Linked DNA regions of Pelodiscus sinensis. The protein of the gene in region 1 purifies or fractionates together with the protein of each later gene. This does not show direct contact. Links are inferred from orthologs where the notes say so. Each region holds a gene or a part of one and is shown in the gene's direction. Other genes may lie near its edges. The genes, in order: DICER1 and protein argonaute-1.

The links.
Region 2: the proteins of DICER1 (region 1) and protein argonaute-1 purify together in Homo sapiens (co-immunoprecipitation; 7 studies listed by BioGRID and IntAct, with this or other methods). This does not show direct contact. The link is inferred for Pelodiscus sinensis from reciprocal best matches to the Homo sapiens genes DICER1 and AGO1.

What each region holds. Positions count from the first base shown.
Region 1 is NC_134714.1:28,334,521-28,344,000, forward strand, and holds the start of DICER1 (endoribonuclease Dicer), read left to right. Parts: upstream 1-5,024; 5' UTR 5,025-5,235; intron 5,236-5,466; exon of another isoform or gene 5,467-5,650; intron 5,651-9,480. UniProt on the Homo sapiens protein: Double-stranded RNA (dsRNA) endoribonuclease playing a central role in short dsRNA-mediated post-transcriptional gene silencing.
Region 2 is NC_134735.1:7,520,485-7,530,874, forward strand, and holds the start of protein argonaute-1, read left to right. Parts: upstream 1-6,455; 5' UTR 6,456-6,593; coding exon 6,594-6,618; intron 6,619-10,390.

The sequences.
Region 1 (9,480 bases):
CTTGTTGCCTCTATTTCTAATATAGCTGCATCCAGTCCCTGGGCCTTTGGTTTCCTACCCCTTGCTTACCAGAAGTTAAAAAAAAAAAAGAGCAAAAGTGTTTTTTAGGCACTTCAAACAAAATATATTAATTCTGAATAGATACATGGAGCAGATCCATTGATTGAGGATATGCCATTATGAAAGGTAGAATCATAATTTCAAGAAGTATAGAAAATTGGCAAAGAAATTAGGAATATGCACATTTCATGTGCACTTCACACACTATGGCTGCATGTCCCTTAGCTGTCAGAGTACAGCCCAGTTGCAGTCCAGCTGAAAATTAGATCCTAAGTGACTTGACCAAAGAGTCACAGCAAGTCCAGTGGTAGAACTGAAAATAGAAAGTTGTCGGCTACCCAGCAATTTGCTTGATCCATGAATCTTATTTTCCCAACCAGAGAATTGTGAGTGTATATCAAAGCATGTTGGTATCAACAGCAGAGAACAACAGAGGTCACCATTGTCTTACGGTAAGAAAAATCACTTTTTGAGGATCCATTGTAGAACATTGAGCAGATGCAGAGCCAAAAAGCATACTCCTGGCATGATTCTAAAATTCAGTTGCGTGAGAAAAGCCAAGTACTGGAACAGACTGAGAAAAGGTACAATTTTGAGTATTTCTAGCACACACATGAGGATTTTTTCCCCTGACAGAATAAAAATCACAACTAAATTGCGTGAATTTTGAAATGGAGAAAAAGAAATGTCTCTTTGCCTTACAATCTTTACCACCCAGAATAAGACGTCAATGGTTCTAAATAGCCAAAGCACAGGGAAATCCGATTTTGTGTATGCATGTTTTTTGTTAAAAATTTTAGTCGTCTATTTCTCTTATTCAATCTAATCAACCTATTTGATAATAAGAGCGATAACAACAATATATACTAAAAAGCACAAGTTACAGGATGTTCAGAGAGTTGAAATTCCCTGTTTGCTGTACTTGTTTAGTGTTCTGTATTGCACAGGCTATATCACATATCCTGGCATTAAAATCTGGCATTAAGGAATTTGAAGAAATTATATGAATTTACAGTTAGGGGAAATAAACATTTAAAATCAATTTTATTTACAAAAGCCCACAATCTAAAATATGTGCTTGCAAAATAAAACCAATCAGATTATAAAAGAGGCTAAAATGCACACAGATCCTTACTGTATCATTGCATGAACATTTTCTATATTATTACATGAAATGATTGAGGAAACAATGTGTGGAAATAAAGTGCTCAGAAGTTTTCCTTTGAGTTCTTGGTTCAGATCTTCAGAAGTATTTAGGTGCCTAAATACCCACTGAAATCAGTGCAAGTTAGGTGCCTAAATACCCTTGAGAAGCTGGGCCCTTGTGATTATTTTCCTTTAATAAGCTTTCAGTTTAGATCTTTAGTCCCCCCCAGCTTGCCTTTTAGTTTGCCAGAAACAAATAATCTCTTTAATGGTGGCCTAGAAAGCATTTGTAAGGATTGTTTATCATTTCTGCTACTTCAAAAATTATTACAAATGCGTTATCTTCATTGCTCCAAACATAAGTGGAGAAATAGACCCATGTGTTGTGACAACTCCTGCTGTATAGGACTGAACAGCTGTTCTGTCAGTGGATATTATTATACATCCAACTATGTGAAGTAGAAGGCTGCACCTTGTATGAACTAAAAATACCTAGTTATTTTGTATTGTTTAATAATGGAGACAGTGCACTCAGTGTCAGTCAGGGGTTCACCCATGTGACACAGGTGATAAAACATTTTGCAGCCCATAGTACCTTTAATTTCAAGTTCTCAAAGCCCTTTACAAATATTATATTAAATATGCCTCACAATGCTCCAGTTATGTAGATGAGTATTGTCATACCCATTTGGTAGATGAAGTCACTGAGGCCTAGAGAGATTAAGTCATGCAAGGCCATAGCAAATTACTGGTAGAGCTGGGATAGAACAAATTAGTCAGGATTCCCATGACTAGATTCTCAGCTACAACTGCTTGGCACATCTGGGCAGGAGGATGGTTGGCCACAAGTTGCTTTTACCCCCACCTTTCTGCTCCCTTATTTCTTGACTGGACAACAGGAAGCTGCTTTAGCTCCTGGCACAAGTTGCAAAGGTCCCCTAGGCATTGTTTGGCTGGTTCAGGATCTTCAAGTACAGCATCCGAACCCAACCACTATACCAGGGAGGATGCCAAAAGTGAGTAGTATGGAGCCAGTGACATGTCTTTATGCTACCCAAGGAATCTTCAACACAAGAACAACTGTATACTCAGCTGGTTGTTGCATCTCTATACACTTAGCAAGCTGAAACAGGGGTAGAGGGAATGGAACAAGGCCACCATAGGATCTAACCACTACTATTTTGCTACAAATAGACCATATTCTAGCACACTTATCTATGACTTTCACATAATTATGTATCTACATGCCCCTCACCACTATGGTGTGTGAGTACCATCCATGTTTTTAAAAAGGAAATAATATTAGTTCTCTTTCTCCCTGACCAGCCTGTAGGAGAAATAGTCTGCTTACTTAAAGAGGTTTTGTTTGTGTATACACAAATGGATGAGTGAAGAACTTACGGAGGAAAAAATCAAGTAGGAAAAAAAAGTGTTACATTTAGTTCTTAAAGTGTGGGAGAGCTCATTTCACATCAGAGTGAATTCCATAGTCTAAATCCAAGTGTTGTGCTAGTTCTGTCACCCCTGCTCAAAGGCCTCCTCTTAAAGTAACTCTGAGCTTGTCTCAGTGCAAATGCCTTAACAGCATAGCTATCCAATTAGAGCTATACCACCAAAGCTCCCTAGTGGAGATGTAACTTATACTGACTAATGTGCTGGCATAATTAATCCACTTCCCCAAAGTTCATAGGTGCTATGACAGGCATTCCACATTCTTTATGAGGGGGAAATGCTGATGAATATGACATAACTGGAATAAGCTTTATTCAAGATACTTTATGAGAGATATCATTGGTTGTATCCACAAAAGCTCATGATACCATCTACATGTTTTGTTAGTCTTTAAAGTGCTGCTAGACTATTCGTTGTTTTTTAAGTTTTTCCAGTTACAGACTAACTCGGCTACCCCTCTGAAATCATTGGGAAGGTTTGGATTTATTGAATATATTTAGCCTATTCATATGCAGGGTATCTCTTCTGTATCAGAACTTAGGAATATTGACTGTAAATTTATTATCAGTGTGTTCACGTTGGGAAAAGCCTGTTACAGCCAAGTACAACAATTAAGAAGAAGCCAAACACAGACCTAATGGCCTGTTAGTAAGAGACTATGAACTGTGGGAGACCTTGCTTTTCTTCTAAGCATAAGGATCAGCCTGTAAGAAATGACTACTGGCTCTGAAACACCTGTGATCTGATGCTAGAATAGCATATATAAATAATTGTTACCCAGGGGCGAGGAGTATGTGCATATCTCTTTTTACATTGAGAAAGGGTGTGTCTACACAGCACCTTAAACTCAAAATAAGATACGCAATTTGCACTATGCAAATTGCGTATCTTATCTCAAATCTATTTTGAAAGACTTTATTTCGATATTTGGCACGTCTACACAGCACCAAATTTCAAAATAACATGCTATTTCAAGCCATCCTTTATCCCTTGTTCAATTAGGTTGATCAGGATGGTGAAATAGCACACCTGTTAAAAATATTTTGAAATAACAGATGGCTTATGTAGATGCAGGATAGCTATTTTGGGATACTTGTGGTATCCCAAAATAGCCATGCAGTGTAGACAAACCCAAAGAGAGGCATTTTCATGAGCTTGTACTGTATAGCTATCTATACAACATAAATCAGATTTTTCTAGGATTAGCTCCCAGAGGAGATGTTTACTTGACTTCTGGGAAAAGGACTCACTCTGTGCTGCTTTCAGGTGTATCTGCAGCCTTCATGGTGTGGCCTTATCCTTGTGTTTTGTTTGACGCAAGCTGGAGAGGTAGGCTCAACAAGACAGGGCTCCAGGGTGCCCAGGCTGTCAGGAGAAGCAGGCTCAGTGTTGTCTTGGCACATACCTGCATCCATATGTAGGCTTTTGCTGGCACAGCAATGTTGGTTGGAGTGTGTGAGTTTTCTTCATGCTCCTGGCCAACAAAGTTATGCCAAAAAAACTTGTGTGGACCAGGCCTTTTGTGAGAGATCAGAGTTGGAGAAAGAACTCCTCCCTCAAGTAGGTAGGGCCAATTCCATGGGGAGTTTTAAACTGGGATACAGATTTTGAACTGAATTGTATGTTGAGTAGAGAATCATTAACACCATAGAACTATTTCATCCTCCTTCAAATCCTTCCTAAAAACTCTAATTTGCTGTGATGCCTACAAAAAACTTGGCATAATTGTTAGTCTGGTGGTTTGCTGACCCAGAGGGAGGGAACACAACAGGTAATTGTCAAGTGATCTCTCTCCTGTCACCCATTTCCAGCCTCTCACAAACAGAGGCTAGGGACACCATTCCTATCCATCCTAGCCATTGATGGTAATCTCCATGAATTTATCTAGGTGTTTTAAATTTGATCATTTGAAGATTACCCGTTCTGTTCATTCCCTCTAGAGCACCTGTCATTGGCCACTATTGGAAAACAGCATATTGGGCTAGATGGAGCCTTGTTCTGACCCAGTATGGCTGTTCTCATGTTCCAGCACAAGCTCCTACCCCTACCCCCTCCCTGAGGCCGCCTCTGCACCCCTTCACCCCCAGCCCCACCCCAAAGCCTTCATCACCTGCACTTCTGCCTCTTGCCCCACCCTAAAACCCTTACTCCCTCCTGCATCTTGAATCCCTCAGGCCCACCCCTCAGCCTGGCGCTCCCTACTGCACAGCAAACCCTTCATCCCTTTCCCCACTCCAGAGCCCAGCTGGTGCCCTCAGCATCTCCCGCCCCCGCCCCGCGAAAGGAGGGAGGGGGGGGCTTGTGGGGGGAGGCGGGGCCGCGGGCGAAAGGCGGAGCCAGGATGTTGGGGGCACCAATAGAAAGTTGGCAACCCTAGAGCTGGGTATCCTCCCCCTCCGCCACCTGAGCTGGGAGGTGAGCGGGGAATCGGCTCCTGAAACTCGCCCCCCGCCGGAAGAGGCGTCTGCGTGCGGTATCTCCCGCCTGTGCGGAGCGAGGGCGCCTGCGTGCGACACCATCGCCCCGGGGCGCGCCACGCAGGGTTCAGCAGGGAATAGAGAGGACGAAGCAACACACGTGAGTCCGTGGAAGGCTCCTGCCGTCCCAAGCGTTTGCTGTCTCCTGTCAGCTGATTGGCCATCCTGTAAACCCTTGACCTCTGACCCCCTTTTTACTCCAATCGCCTCACTCCTCTCATGGGCTGGGGAGAGTGGAGGGTGTGAGCTGTGGGGGTTGGCATTCTCAGAGCGGCTGTACGCTGCTTGCGTTGGGCGGTCCTGTGGTGGTGGGTGGAGGGCGCGGGGTGGTGCTCTGTTTGCGTAGGGCCGGCCTCGCACGGGGAAGGGAGGGTAGGAGGCTGTCCCGGGCCCAGGTGAATGGAGGAACCTGACAGCTGGGGGGAGTGAGGCCGCGGCGGGGAAATGGCGGCGGGAGCAGCACAATGAGACGCGGCCTGTAGCGGGGAAGCGCTGGTCTGGGTCCAGCTCGGCAGGTAGGAGGCGGCGGGCGGCTCTGGCGTGTGCCTGGGCCGGTGGCTTCATGGCGGGGCCGGGCACCCAGCGGCGGGGCCGGGCAGCTTGTGCCACCGCCCGCTCTGGACATGTGCGCGGCTCGGCCCCTTTGGCGCCCGGCTGAGCCTCCCCTCGCTCCCAAGGCCTGGTTCACCTGTGCGCAGCCCCCGCCTGGCCCTGCCTGCCGGGGCCTAGCCACCCCCGTTGCCGCCATGCCCATGGACCCGGCTCAGCGGCGCCCAAGGCGAAGGGTCTCCGACGGGGGCCTGCGTCTCAGCCCTTCTCGCTGGCTTTGTCTTCTCTCTCTCCCCGGGCCTGCTGAGGAGCCCCGTCCCCACGCATCCCTGCCTCCCTCAGACCACAGCTGGGATTCCCGGGAGTTGCTTCCCCAGCGCCAATGAGAGACCCGTTATTAAAGGGGTGAAGGGCTTTTGATGCGGGTGTGGAGGGGTGTAGTTCTAACTGATAAATGTTACTCCTGGAGAGTTTTTAAGGATCGCTTCTCTCTCTCCTTCACCACCTCCCCTAGCTGAAACTAGCGGGGGCACTGCATGCCGTAAATATACAGTGAGAACATTACAAGATCCTCCCCCATAACCTGTATGAAAAATATTGCAAAGTCCAAGTGGCACATTAAAGCATTTACGTTGTGCTCCATGCTATAGAAAAGAAAGTGCTGCAATAGGGGAAAAAAAGTGGGTCATATATTGATACAAACCTGAAACAAACTCTTGCATTTCTTTGTGTATTGATTTTGTTCCTGAGATAACAGGCCTTTGGGAGAAGATAGCTTGTTGATGGGGTTAAGTCTTGGCCACTGAAAACTTAGAACATCCTATACACTTGGGCTGTGTCTACATTGGCAAGATTTTGCACAAAAGTGGCCGCTTTTGTGCAAAATCTTGCTGCCTGTCTACACTGGCCACGAGTATTTGCACAAGAACACTGATGTTGTAATGTACAAAATCAGGGCTTCTTGCACAAATACTCTGACGTTTCTGCTCAGGCAATGTTAATTTCTTGCGCAAGAAAGCCCGATGGCTAAAATAGCCATTGGAGCTTTCTTGCACAAGAGAGCGTCTACACTGGCACGGATGCTTTTGCACAAAAGCTCATGTCAGTGTAGATGCTCTCTTGTGCAAATACTTTTAACGGAAGAGTTTTTCCCCAATAAAAGTATTTGCGCTAAATCATGCCAGTGTAGACGTAGCCTTAATATTATCAGTTCTGTTTTTTAAGCAGCAAATGATTGCTTAAGCAAGATGGCCATGAATTCCACTAGTGAGAAAGGGAGAGCCTGCCTATTTAGTTTACAAATCTAGAGATCTCATGTGAAAACACTTTGATGTATATCTTTAGTTAACTAATCAGTGTGTGTTTAGTAATGCTTATTCTTCTCCTGTTGTCCTGTGTCTTGTTTAGACTGTAAATTCATTGGGAGGTTCATTCTTTTATTTGTGAAGTGCTATATACAGAAGCAGAGTTGCATATATATTTTTAACAACTCTGGTCTTTTAATGGTTTGATATAGGTACAAACTCAATCCCCATGTATCTTAATATTTTTCTAAAGGGAAGGCCTTTCCATGCTAGCTCATATCTTGTGGGGTCACAATCTGTAGTATTTAATGAAAAATATTAAAATGCTCCTTTTTAGTCCTAAGCAGCTCACCTAGAAAATAGTGGTGTATTTCTCCTGTTCCTACCCTTTTAATACAAGTAGATAGTGGTTATGGCTACAATTGTGTAATGGATATTTTTTGGTAAAAATCAGGGTCAGGTCATCTACTATTGAGAGTTAGTCTGTTTGTTCAAGAACTCCTCCTAAATGATAAGAGCTAGAAGGGCAATCAAATTCAGTATACAGCTTCCTCTTTATTATAACTTAAAGCAATGTAAGGCTTTGTTGTGCCTGGACTGGGATTGCTTCTCATAAAGCCATATAGAAAAGAGACAGAATCACCACACAGGTGAAAAGTGCTGGCTGGCAGCAATCAGCAATCCTCCTGAATTCCTCCCCTCCCATGTAGGATTGCTCCAACCCTGAGCCTCCTGCCCCCAGATGCCCCCACCAGTTAGTACAGGGATATTGCTGGCCTTTCCCCTTCATCAGGAAACAAGATGAAAATTCACAGTTTGCTGTATTTCTCACTCATGGGTAGTGCTGGAGGGACAGGCAAGCTAAGCTGTGGACTTTGCTCTCACTCTCTGACAGGGACAGAAAAAGGAAGAGCAAGCAGCTCTGGTATGAATTGGGGAAGAAGGGGAGGCTGGCTTTGCCCCTTTTCTGTGTGTGGGTATGTCTAGACTGCATCCTCTGTCAGAGGGATGCAGATTAGGCAGGTTGACATTGCAAATGAGGCAGGGATTTAAATACAGGCAGTCCCCGACTTACGCGGATCTGACTTATGTCGGATCCGCACTTACGAACGGGGCTTTTCTCGCCCCGGAGCTCACGGGCGGCGGGTCGCCACCCGTGTCCTCTGGGGTGAGAAAAGCTTCTCCCGGTCTCCCTGGTCTGCTGGGAGGGTCCAGCAAAGCCGCTGGACCCCCCTCCCCCCCCAGCAGACCAGGGGGACAGGAGCAAAGCTGCCCAGGTGGCGGTTTTGCTCGGGTGTCCCTGGTCTGCTGGGGGGGGTCCAGCGGCTTTGCTGGACCTCTCCAGCAGACCAGGGAGACAGGAGCAAAGCCACACGGGCGGAGGGGTCCCCTCCGCCTGTGCGGCTTTGCTCGGGTCTCCCTGGTGTGCTGGGAGGGACTCCCCCTAGCACCCCAGGGAGACAGGGGTGCGCTCCCCACCCAGCAGACCAGGTTTTTGTTGCGGGATGCCTCGGGTAGAGCAGCTGGGGTGCTGCCGGGTTGGTCCTGTGGGAACCTACCGGGCAGCGCCCCAGCTGTTCTGTCCCAGGCTCCAGATTCAGCAGCTGTTGAAACTGATCAGGCTGATTCCAGGAAGCTGGGGCAGAGCAACTCTGCCTCCGGCTTACTGTAGTCAGCCCCTGGTCAGTTTCAGCGGCAGCAGCTGAATCTGGAGCCAGTTCTGACTTACATGCAAATTCAACTTAAGAACAAACCTATAGTCCCTATCTTGTACGTAACCCGGGGACTGCCTGTATCCTGTGCCTAATTTGCATAAAAGTGGCTACCACATTTTGCCGAATCAGCACTTTGTCGGCAAAAAGCGGCAGTTTGGAGGGGGATCTGTCGAGAAAGAAAGCCTTTTTCGACAGATCCCTTATGCCTCCTGCAAGGAGGTTTACGGGATCTGTCGAAAAAGGCTTTCTTTCTCGACAGATCCCCCTCTAGAGTGCCACTTCTTGCTGACAAAGTGCTAAGTTGGCAAAACATGGTGGCCATTTTTATGCAAATTAGGCACGGGATATTTAAATCCCTGCTTCATTTGCAATGTCGACCTGCCTAATCTGCATCTCTCTGCTGCCAGAGGGATGCAATCTAGACACACCCTGTGTGTATATATACACGCACAGTTCCCTGCCCTGCACAGTTCCTATACGTCCCCCACCTCCTGGCCTGAGCCCATCCTCACTAGGGGATGTAATAGTGTAGTCAAGTAACTGATAAGCAAAAGCTTATCGATTAATGCTATAGACTACACGCATCCCCCCTCCCCAGGCCAGTACATATTTTTAGCAGGGTAGCCAGCAGCTTTGCTCAGTCCTGGCTTTTGTTGGGTCTGGGACATACCACCACTGTGGCTCTGCATTTAAAGTGTATTAGGAGCCAGGTGAGCAGGAATCCCAGCTCAGTTCTGGCTCCCATGCAGTCTGGGACTCAGACCCTCCCTGGAATGG
Region 2 (10,390 bases), on another chromosome or scaffold:
TGCGTGGGGGTCTAGCAGTTTGTGAAGCCTTTACACTAGTACTATAGCTATTGAGAGCTTCCCTATCAATTAATTGACCACAACAAGGCTATATCTACACTACACTTCTTTTTTGGAAGAGGCTTTTCCAAAATTTGGCCCATCTACAATGGGCCAAATTTTGGAAAAATCTCCTCTTTTGGAAGAGCCCTTCTTCATGAAACGAGGTTTACAGGGCTTCCGAAAGAGCCTGTCTGCTCTTCTGAAAAAAAAATCAGAAGAGCAGATGCATTCCCTGGATGCGGCGGAGTTTTCTGGGATGCAGGAGGTATCCCAGAAAAACTCTATAATGTAGATGTACCCTGAGGGGGGGCAGCTCTGTCAAAAGAAGCTCTCCTGCTGGCAGTGTGGTACACCCCAATGCTTGTGTCATCAGTTGTCACGCGGGGATGGCTAATTTATACCCTGAGTAACATAACTGCGGTTGACTTAGGCTATGGCTACACTAGAGCCTAAGTATTGTCCTGTTACTAAACTGGTCATGGTAATGCCTGGCATTGCACTGAGAGGAAGCAGTGCGTCCAGGTAAATGTGTGCTCTTTGGAGCACAGGAGGTACCCTGATTGTGGTCGAATGCTTTGTAAATACAAGGGCCTAGATTTACCAAGGAATTGAGGTACTGAACTACCAGTGTGGGGTGTTTTGTTTTTTTGGGGGGGGAGGGGGAGATTGGCGTCTAAATGTCTTTTAGGATCTTGGCCTCTGTCCTGTGGCTGGTTCTGTTCCATAATGGATTTTACGTCTGTCCTGAAGTTAGAATTTAGAGCCCAGCTCTTGTCATGTGAGTAGCAGCAGGTTTGTGAGATGCCAGCGTCCCAAATGTGCAGAGAATTCCAGCAGACCCCCTTCTGCATTCCCTGGGTCTGCGTAGGTAGGATTGATGGAAATAGGAAGCAGAGAGGGTGCTGGAGAAATCCAATGACACAGAGCAGACTTGACAGCATGTCTAGTTAACTGAACCCTTCCTGCCAATGATGCTGATGTCACCACTGCCCGTGGCAAAGGCAGCTCTGTCTGGCACGATTACCCTTCAGAGGAAATGAACCTCTTCCTTCGCTGTCAATATTAAGTCTGCATCTGCTTGGTAGGTTCCCGCGAGCTGTGTCTACTTCCATTGTTTCTTGCCCTTCTTTCTGTCTTACCATTTAATACTAACGGTCTTGCCCTCAATTTGCTGTCCTTTTGTGGACACCCCAAAATAAATGAAACATCTGCAGGTGACCCACTAGTTGTATTGCAACAGCCAAACAAAAATTATTTGGGTCGGTCATTATTAACCCCCGTCACGGTTGCTGTCTTATCGTGGTTACTGACTTTGTCTTTTATTTAGGCTACAGTTTTTTCACTGCTGTTGAATAATAAATCCAGGAAGTGCCACAACAAGAAGATAATGGTGCATCTTCAGAAAACTGGATCTACCAGCACTAGAATCCTCTCAAGGGACACTGGATGCCAGTTTTAGGATTTAGCAGAGGGTCAACTGTTATATATATATTAAGGATGTGATAGTGTAAACGTTTAACTGTTACGTGCAGTGGCATGGGGAGGGGGGAGGTGCTTGTGAAGAGCTGGCTTTTAAGCAGGCTCCCTGCAAACACCAACACCAGCGGAGCCACCTGCCTGCCCCCATGCTGCGCTGCTGCCTCTTCCCCCCCAGCCTCCTCAATGGAGGCAGGTGGCTCCGCAGGAGCTGGTACACACAGGAAGCTGGCTTAAAAGCTGGCTCCCCGCATGTACCAGCTCCTGTGGAGCTGCATCTCTTTCCCCTTGCATATAAATGTGTATCCACTGAAAATTTCAGCGGGGATGCATTTATCAAAATTAATGCATTTTAACAACCCTAATACTTAAAGCGCTGCTTATATAATCAAATGGCACCCTCATGATCATGTAATTTACATTAATTTGGCATGTACAGTTAACTATTGTCAGTGCCTCTGCTCCAGCCTCCTATGGGAAGGTTAATGATAAGTAGGGTTAGAATGACGCCACAGTCAATCTCCTTTGTTCTAGGAGGAGCCCCAAGGTTTAAGCATAAATGAAAGCAGACCTTCCAAAAAAACTTCTTCCAAAAGACAGCATCCACACATAAAAGCACATTGAAAAAGCGATCTCCTTTTTCAAAAGATAGTGTCCACACTGAATGGACACTCTCTTGCATTTAAGCTGTGATTACTATGAATGGAGTGGCCACCAGGGCACCTGTGCTTTTTCCTCTTTCCTCTTCTTGCAAAAGAACTCCTTCTTCCCCGTCCACACCCACCTCTTTCCGAAAGAGTTCTTTTCGGAAAGAGGCTTCTTCCTTGTAGAAAGAGATTTACCAACGCCAGAAAAACCCCTCTGTTCTTTTGATTTACTTTCAGAAGAATGCGATTGCAGTGTGGATGTAACTCAGATTTTGTTGGAAAAACAGCCATTTTCCCAACAAAACTCTGTAGTGTAGACATACCCTGAGTATTAAGGAACAGGTTCCAGAGAGGGTGAAACCGAGACACAAAGGTGTATTTCGTGGTAAGTCATTGGTAGAGCCAAGAATGGAATCCAGGAGTCCTGCTGCCCAGTTCCTTGCTCTGCAATGGCATTTTCAATTCAATTAGCTTCTGCTCATTACACTGTTAATCTGAGAACTGAGTGTGAAAGAAAACTGGGATGTGAAGGTTACTTTTTTTAGTCACACATGGCTTCCTGGAATATGCTTTCAGAGAGATGCCTGGCATTACAGCAATATAAATGCTAAGGCAATAATGTTATGGCCCCGGTGAAAGATTCTGATCCTTGGTATTGAGGGATGATTCAGCTGTCTAGGGGGAAAAACCCCCATTTCAGTGTCACCCACACAAGTCACATTCCCTGCAGAGTGAGTATGTCAATAATAGCAGGGATGGAATTTCCAAAAGGAAGTTCATTGGAACCAACCCCAGGACACAGCCAAAGATCAGAGCTGCCAGACCTCAAACCTGTGCCCACTCTGTTGTGCAGAAGCTGCAGTCACTGGATGACAGGATCCTGGATGTCCAGCAGGAAAAGTTCATCTGGCTTATTGGGAGTGGTGTGCGTTGTATGTTCGGCGTGGGCATTCTGTCTTGGGGATTGTTTAATAAATAGAGGTTACAGATATATGTGTAAGGCTCTTTCACTAGTAAAGGACCCAACAACCCGGTAGGTTACGCCCTGGGCCATAGGAATGGGGTAAGGTGGGTGCCCTAGTGTACAGCTAAACCAAACACTTTCACTGACCCCTATATTCCTAGATCCCATTTCCCTTCCAAGGCATTGTAATGCTGTGGATCTTTTCTTTGTGTAGCTGTCTTTACACATTACCCATAACCACAAGGGGGTGCTTCTAACACAGCACTACCAAACACCCCTAATGTCAAATACACCAATTTCTCCTTCCCATCTGCCAACAAGTTGCATAAAGAATCAAACTTAAAACAATAAAAGTGCTAATAAATTCAATCGTCCCCTACTGTTTACTCATTCGCCTGGCACAGAACAATGACTCTCCAAAAATACCCTGCCATGTGTCTCCCCATGAACCTACTAGGAAATCTAAAGTGTTCCAATCTGGCTCAGCCAGGGATAACTTAGTTGTTAAAACATTTATTTTTTATTGGATGATGCTCTGATGAAAGGTACAGAGAGTCTAAGGAAAGTGCTTATCTGAATTCCTTAGAACAACCTTTATATATTATGCAAAGTTAAGAGGAGAGGCTAAAGAGACTGGGACTTTTCAGTTTAGAAAAGAGGAGACTGAGGGGGGATATGATAGCGGTCTATAAAATCATGAGTGGTGTGGAGAGGGCTGATAAAGAAAAGTTATTTATTAGTTCCCATAATAGAAGAACTAGAGGACACCAAATGAAATTAATGGGTAGCAGGTTTAAAACGAATAAAAGGAAGTTCTTCTTCACACAGCGTGTTGTCAACCTGTGGAACTCCTTGCCAGAGGAGGTGGTGAAGGCTAGGACTATAATAGAGTTTAAAGAGAAGCTGGATAAATTCATGGAGGTTAGGTCCATAAAAGGCTATTAGCCAGGGGATAAAATGGTGTCCTTGGCCTCTGTTTGTCAGAGGCTGGAGAGGGATGGCAGGAGACAAATCGCTTGATCATTGTCTTCGGTCAACCCTCTCTGAGGTACCTGGTGCTGGCCACTGTCGGTAAACAGGATACTGGGCTAGATGGACCTTTGGTCTGACCCAGTACGGCCGTTCTTATGTTCTTATGTTACTGTAAAGTTCTTTCACATCCTTCTAGATTCACTGTGTTGCATCTACCTTAGTTCCATTTTTATTCTGTTTTGTATTGAATTTGGCCTTCCCACTAGAGCAAAGATAATCATGAGCACCCCTACTGCTTGAAGACTCAGTATGTGGTGGTTTTCAGACAGGCAGGGTTTGCAGAGGAGGAGAGGCAGAGGCGACCTTTTGAGCTGTTTCTCTACCTCATTCTCAAGCTAAATGGCAATTGGTGTATGTGGAATTTGCACATTTATCTGAGTGTTAAAAGGATACTGACAACTTAAATCTTAGGTGGTAAACATTTCTTTAGCTATGGCTCTGATCCTGCAAACACTTGGACACATTAGGTTATCCATGGGAATAGCCTATGTTCAGCACATACATAAGGATCAGCACTCAAGGTATAACCATACTAGATTAATAAAAGTAGGTATGTAAAGGGTTAATTGGTTAACTTGCCATCACCCTGATGCTTACTGGGGAAGTGGTTAACTGGCAGCTGGGCCCGACCTGAGCAACCCCTGCCTGCAGCACAGCATCTTACTTGACCAGAGCAGCCTGCAGCGCAGTGGGCCCCCTGTCTGTGGGATCCCAGTAATCAGGTTAAACTTAATGTTTAGCTGGTTAACTTTTTAAATGGGATTTTACATCCCTAAATAAAATTGGAAGGATTTTGAAAATCCAATTGCCTTGTCAGGGTTTATGCTCTTTGTTTAACTTCCTGCTTTCTTCTGTGGTTGGACTATGAAGTCAATTTCATGGCTTATGATCAGTTTCACTTTCAGGCTCACAGTACTGCCATGCCAAGAGTGTTGACACTGCAGAAGAATGCCTCTTGCACAGCCAGCACCCCCTCTCTTAGCTCCCCATTGCTATTTTATTGGCATTAAAACCGAATTGTGGAAACATATTTATTGGGCTTGAGTTTTATAAAAGCTTTTTTTACCCAAATATAATTTAAGGGCCAAATCTAAAGGGTCAAATTCGCTTCGGAAGAGGGCATTTTGCACTTCAAAGGAACCGATCAGCCTCATTGTTCTTGTGGCACTGGATACATTCTTGATTCCTGGTGTGTGAGTAAATTGCATGAGGAGAGCTGGCACTGTGCCAGCCCTGCCATGCTTCCTCCATGTTCTCAACTTCTTTTGATGCGAACAAACCAATCTGTGCCACTGCCACCACCAATGCCCGTACTATTGCCACTCTGTTCCCTTCATTTCCAAACGCTTCCCTCACAGTGCTGGGTTTCAGTTCCTCCTCCTACCAAGGCGAGTCTCCATCCTTTGCCCTAGGTCACACTTCCATCGTAGGGAAGGACTGCATCTTTCTCCTCCCTTTTTGCAACAGGCACCCACTCCTGCCAGGTTCACCATCTCACCTCATCTCCTTGCACAATTCTCCTCCCGCCCCAAGCCCATCTGCCCATTGTACCACCACCCCCTGACAACTGTACAGCCAACAATCTTGCCCGGGCCAGGTCCCACTCTCCTCTCCTTTCCCATTGCACAGGCAGCAGTGCTCCTGCACCCCAACTGCGCAGCCCTCCCCCAACCACCCACTGCACCCCAGCACTCCTTCCTCTAGCCCCCCATTGCACAACAGCATTCCCTCTTAGCCCCCACTGCAAAGCCAGCATTTCCTCCCTTAGCCCCCCTTTGCACAAGAGCACCTCCTCTTAGCCCCCCATTGCACAGGCAGCATTTCCTCCCTTAGCCCCCCTTTGCACAAGAGCACCTCCTCTTAGCCCCCATTGCACAGGCAGCATTTCCTCCCTTAGCCCCCCTTTGCACAAGAGCACCTCCTCTTAGCCCCCCCATTGCACAGCCAGCATTTCCTCCCTTAGCCCCCCCATTGCACAAGAGCACCTCCTCTTAGCCCCCCATTGCACAGCCAGCAATTCCTCCCTTAGCCCCCCCCCCATTGCACAAGAGCGCCCCCCCCCAATGCACAGCCAGCACCCACTCCCTTTGCCCCACCCCCCATCATCCCCTCCAGGACAACTGCCCAGTCTCGCTCTGGATCCAAGATGGCGGCGCTCTGCATCCGCTCTCCAGGCCCTCGGAGGGCTGCCGCCCCGCCAGGGGGCGCTGTCCCCGCCCCGCCGCCTTTGTTGGCGCTGGGGCCGGGCGCTCGCGTCGGCGCTGGTTGGCCCGGCGGCCGCGCCTGCGCACTGGGGCCCAGGCGGGGAGGAGGCTGCCCAGAGGCTGCGGCGGCCGCAGCAGCAGCAGCAGCGGGAGGCGGAGGGAGCAGCGCCCGGCCCCCCCCCCCCCCCCGCGGTGAGCCCAGCCCGGAGCCGTGCCCGCGTGGATGGGATGGAAGCAGGACCCTCGGGAGCAGGTAGCGGAGCGGGGACTGGGCTCTGCGGGCTGAGCAAGGGGGGGCTGTGCAGTGGGATGCAAAGGGGCTGCAGTGGGGCACAAGGGGGCTGTGCAGTGGGGTGATGGGGCTGTGCAGTGGGGCGCAAGGGGGCTGAGCGGGGGGGCTGTGCAGTGGGTTGCAAAGGGGCTGCAGTGAGGGGCAAGGGGGCTGTGCAGTGGGGTGATGGGGCTGTGCAGTGGGGCGCAAGGGGGCTGAGCGGGGGGGCTGTGCAGTGGGTTGCAAAGGGGCTGCAGTGAGGTGCAAGGGGGCTGTGCAGTGGGGTGATGGGGCTGTGCAGTGGGGCGCAAGGGGGCTGAGCGGGGGGGCTGTGCAGTGGGATGCAAAGGGGCTGCAGTGAGGTGCAAGGGGGCTGTGCAGTGGGGCGCAAGGGGGCTGAGCGGGGGGGCTGTGCAGTGGGATGCAAAGGGGCTGCAGTGGGGCACAAGGGGGCTGTGCAGTGGGGTGATGGGGCTGTGCAGTGGGGCGCAAGGGGGCTGAGCGGGGGGGCTGTGCAGTGGGATGCAAAGGGGCTGCAGTGGGGCACAAGGGGGCTGTGCAGTGGGATGCAAAGGGGCTGCAGTGAGGGGCAAGGGGGCTGTGCAGTGGGGTGATGGGGCTGTGCAGTGGGGCGCAAGGGGGCTGAGCGGGGGGGCTGTGCAGTGGGTTGCAAAGGGGCTGCAGTGAGGTGCAAGGGGGCTGTGCAGTGGGGTGATGGGGCTGTGCAGTGGGGCGCAAGGGGGCTGAGCGGGGGGGCTGTGCAGTGGGATGCAAAGGGGCTGCAGTGAGGTGCAAGGGGGCTGTGCAGTGGGGCGCAAGGGGGCTGAGCGGGGGGGCTGTGCAGTGGGATGCAAAGGGGCTGCAGTGGGGCACAAGGGGGCTGTGCAGTGGGGTGATGGGGCTGTGCAGTGGGGCGCAAGGGGGCTGAGCGGGGGGGCTGTGCAGTGGGATGCAAAGGGGCTGCAGTGGGGCACAAGGGGGCTGTGCAGTGGGATGCAAAGGGGCTGCAGTGAGGTGCAAGGGGGCTGTGCAGTGGGGTGATGGGGCTGTGCAGTGGGGCATAAGGGGGCTGAGCGGGGGGGCTGTGCAGTGGGATGCAAAGGGGCTGTGCAGTGAGGTGCAAGGGGGCTGTGCAGTGGGATGCAAAGGGGCTGCAGTGAGGGGCAAGGGGGCTGTGCAGTGGGGTGATGGGGCTGTGCAGTGGGGCGCAAGGGGGCTGAGCAGGGGGGGCTGTGCAGTGGGTTGCAAAGGGGCTGTAGTGAGGGGCAAGGGGGCTGAGCAGTGGGTAATGGGGCTGTCAGGGCGTAAGAGAGCTGAGCAAAGGGGGGGCTATACAGTGGGATGCAAAGGGGCTGCAGTGGGGGGCAAGAGGGCTGTGCACTAGGATGATGGGGCTGTGCAGTGGGGTGATGGGGTTGCAGTGGGATGTAAGGGGGCAGGGGAGCTGAGCAAGGGGACTGTGCAGTGGGTTGCAAGAGAGCTGAGCAAGGGGGGCTGTGCAGTGGGGCTGAAGTGGGTATACAAAGGAGCTGCAGTTGGGTCCAAGGAGCAAGGGGACTGTGCAGTGGGGTGATGGGGCTGCACAGAGGGGTACAAAGGGGCTGCAGTGGAGTGATGTGGTTGTGTAGTGGGGCTCAAGGGGGCAAGAGATCTGAGCAAGGGGGCTGCACTGGGGCTGAAGTGGGGTGATAGAGTTGTGTAAAGGAGGGCTGTGCAGTGGACCTGAACTGGGTATGGTGGGGCTGTGCAGTGGTGTACAAAGCGATTGCATTGGGATGATGTGGCTGTGCAGTGGGTTGCAAAGTGGCTGCAGTGGTGTGATGGGCCTGTGCAGTGGTGTGCAAGAGAGTTGAGCAAGGTGGGCTGTAAGGGGCTGCATTGGGGCTTAAGTGGGGTGATGGGACTGTGCAGTGGGGTGCTCTGGGCAGGCGAGCTGGTACAATGTGATGGGGGAGGAACTGTGCACATGGTACACTGGGAAAGGCATGTGGTGCACTGGGGGGATTGTGAAATGGGAAGTTCAGTATGGGGATGGGGGAGAGGCTGCACAAAAGAAAAGAAGGAAATTGGTGCAATATTGGGATGGGGGTCTGTGGGGTTACAAAAGGAGAAGGGGAATGTGTGCAGTATGGTGGTCTGGGGTTGAAATGAAGAGAAGTGGGGGGGGGAGGTCCTGTGTAGGGGAGGACAGGAGACTTGGTATTGTGGATGTCTGGGCTATACAGTGATGGTGTGAAAGAAGAAGGGGAGTTGGTGCAGTGTGTACCTAGGGGCTGTAGTCGGGGCGAGAGGCTGTGCAGAGGGGTGGAGGAGCTGTTGATGCAGTATGGGGCAGGCGGTCTGCAGTGTGAGCTCCAGGAGGACTGTGCAGTGGGGAAGGAAGGCTATAAATTACGGCGGGGCATGTGCAATGGGGGGATTTGAGAGAGATGGGGGCTGTACGTTTGTAGGTTTGGGGTCTGTGAGGTGGGGTCCAGGAGGGCTGAGCAGTGGAGAGGGAAGGGGAGAGAGAGGTATTGGTGCACTGTAAGTGTAGGGGGACTCACTCCTGTATGGAAGACTGTATTGTGGTGGGGGTTCTGGGAAGTTGGTGGCCAAGAAGGCTCTGTATTGGTGTTTGTACAGTGCTGTGTATTGTAAGAAGGAGGCTCAGCAGCCGGAGAAGGGTGTCATGTGGGAAGATGGGGGTGTCAAGGAAGAGTGTTGTGCACGAAGGATTGAGCGTGGGGGTGTTGTAAGGGAGGAACCTCGGGGGTTGAGCATTTATAGGAGCGGGTGTCATGTGTTGTTGAGGCAGCGATGGGGTAGCAGCTTTGCATTGTGGGGTTGTGAAAAGGAGAAGACTCTTTAAAGAAATCAGAATATCCAACGGCTCCAGAGAGAGGAAGCATGGAAAGAGAGCTATTGCTTGGGCTGCCCTGTAGTGAAGAAGGCTGGGCGGGTGCTGTACAAAACAGAGAGGGCTTCTGGGGGTGGATTGCCAACTGGAACAAGGTTGTGCAAGGCGCTGGTTGCAAAGGAAGTGGACTGCTGCATAATGGAGCCTCAAGCCCCATCAGGATGGTGGTGGGAGGCAGCAGGTTCCTACAAGAGGCTGAGTGGGGGGAGGGGACCTGGGGAACAGAGGCAGCTGCAAGGGGCGGGATGAAGGGCTGTTGAGTTGAGCAGCAGGTGCATGTCCTTGCGGAGCATGGTGTGAATAGATGAATCCTGCTTCGAAGGTCCTGGACTTCCAAAGACTCTTTTTATATCTCAAATCCCAGCAAATGGCTTTTATTTCCAGGTTAGAGAGTGGAGGCAAAATCTCCTGTTTCTGTCTGTCCCCTTCACCTCACATGAGTGCAGGAGAGACGTTAGGGTAAGAGACAGCGGATCGGGCTTGCTCCTGGAGCAGGAGTGCTGGCGCGCTCTTGTTTGGACACAACAGTCAGTAGCTGCCGTTTTCTTGTGACAGAATGAAGTGGTTTCTGCCTCTGTGCTTGGGGCATGCGCAAAGTCTGGGCTTCCTTTGCACGCCTGACAGCTGGAGAGGGGAGGCAGCGACTGTTGCTAAAGAGATTCATTCTAGTGCCCTCATCATTGCTTCTCCCCAGCACACCCTGTTAAACAATGTGACTGGCTAACAATGTGTCTGGTATTGTCCTGTCCTTGGCTGCTTGATTTTAAAACTGCCTGACCCTATCCTGCCAGAGCCCTCCAAACATCCTTTAAACTGCCATTTTTTGTTGCAGCCGCTCATTTAATTCTCGTTAGC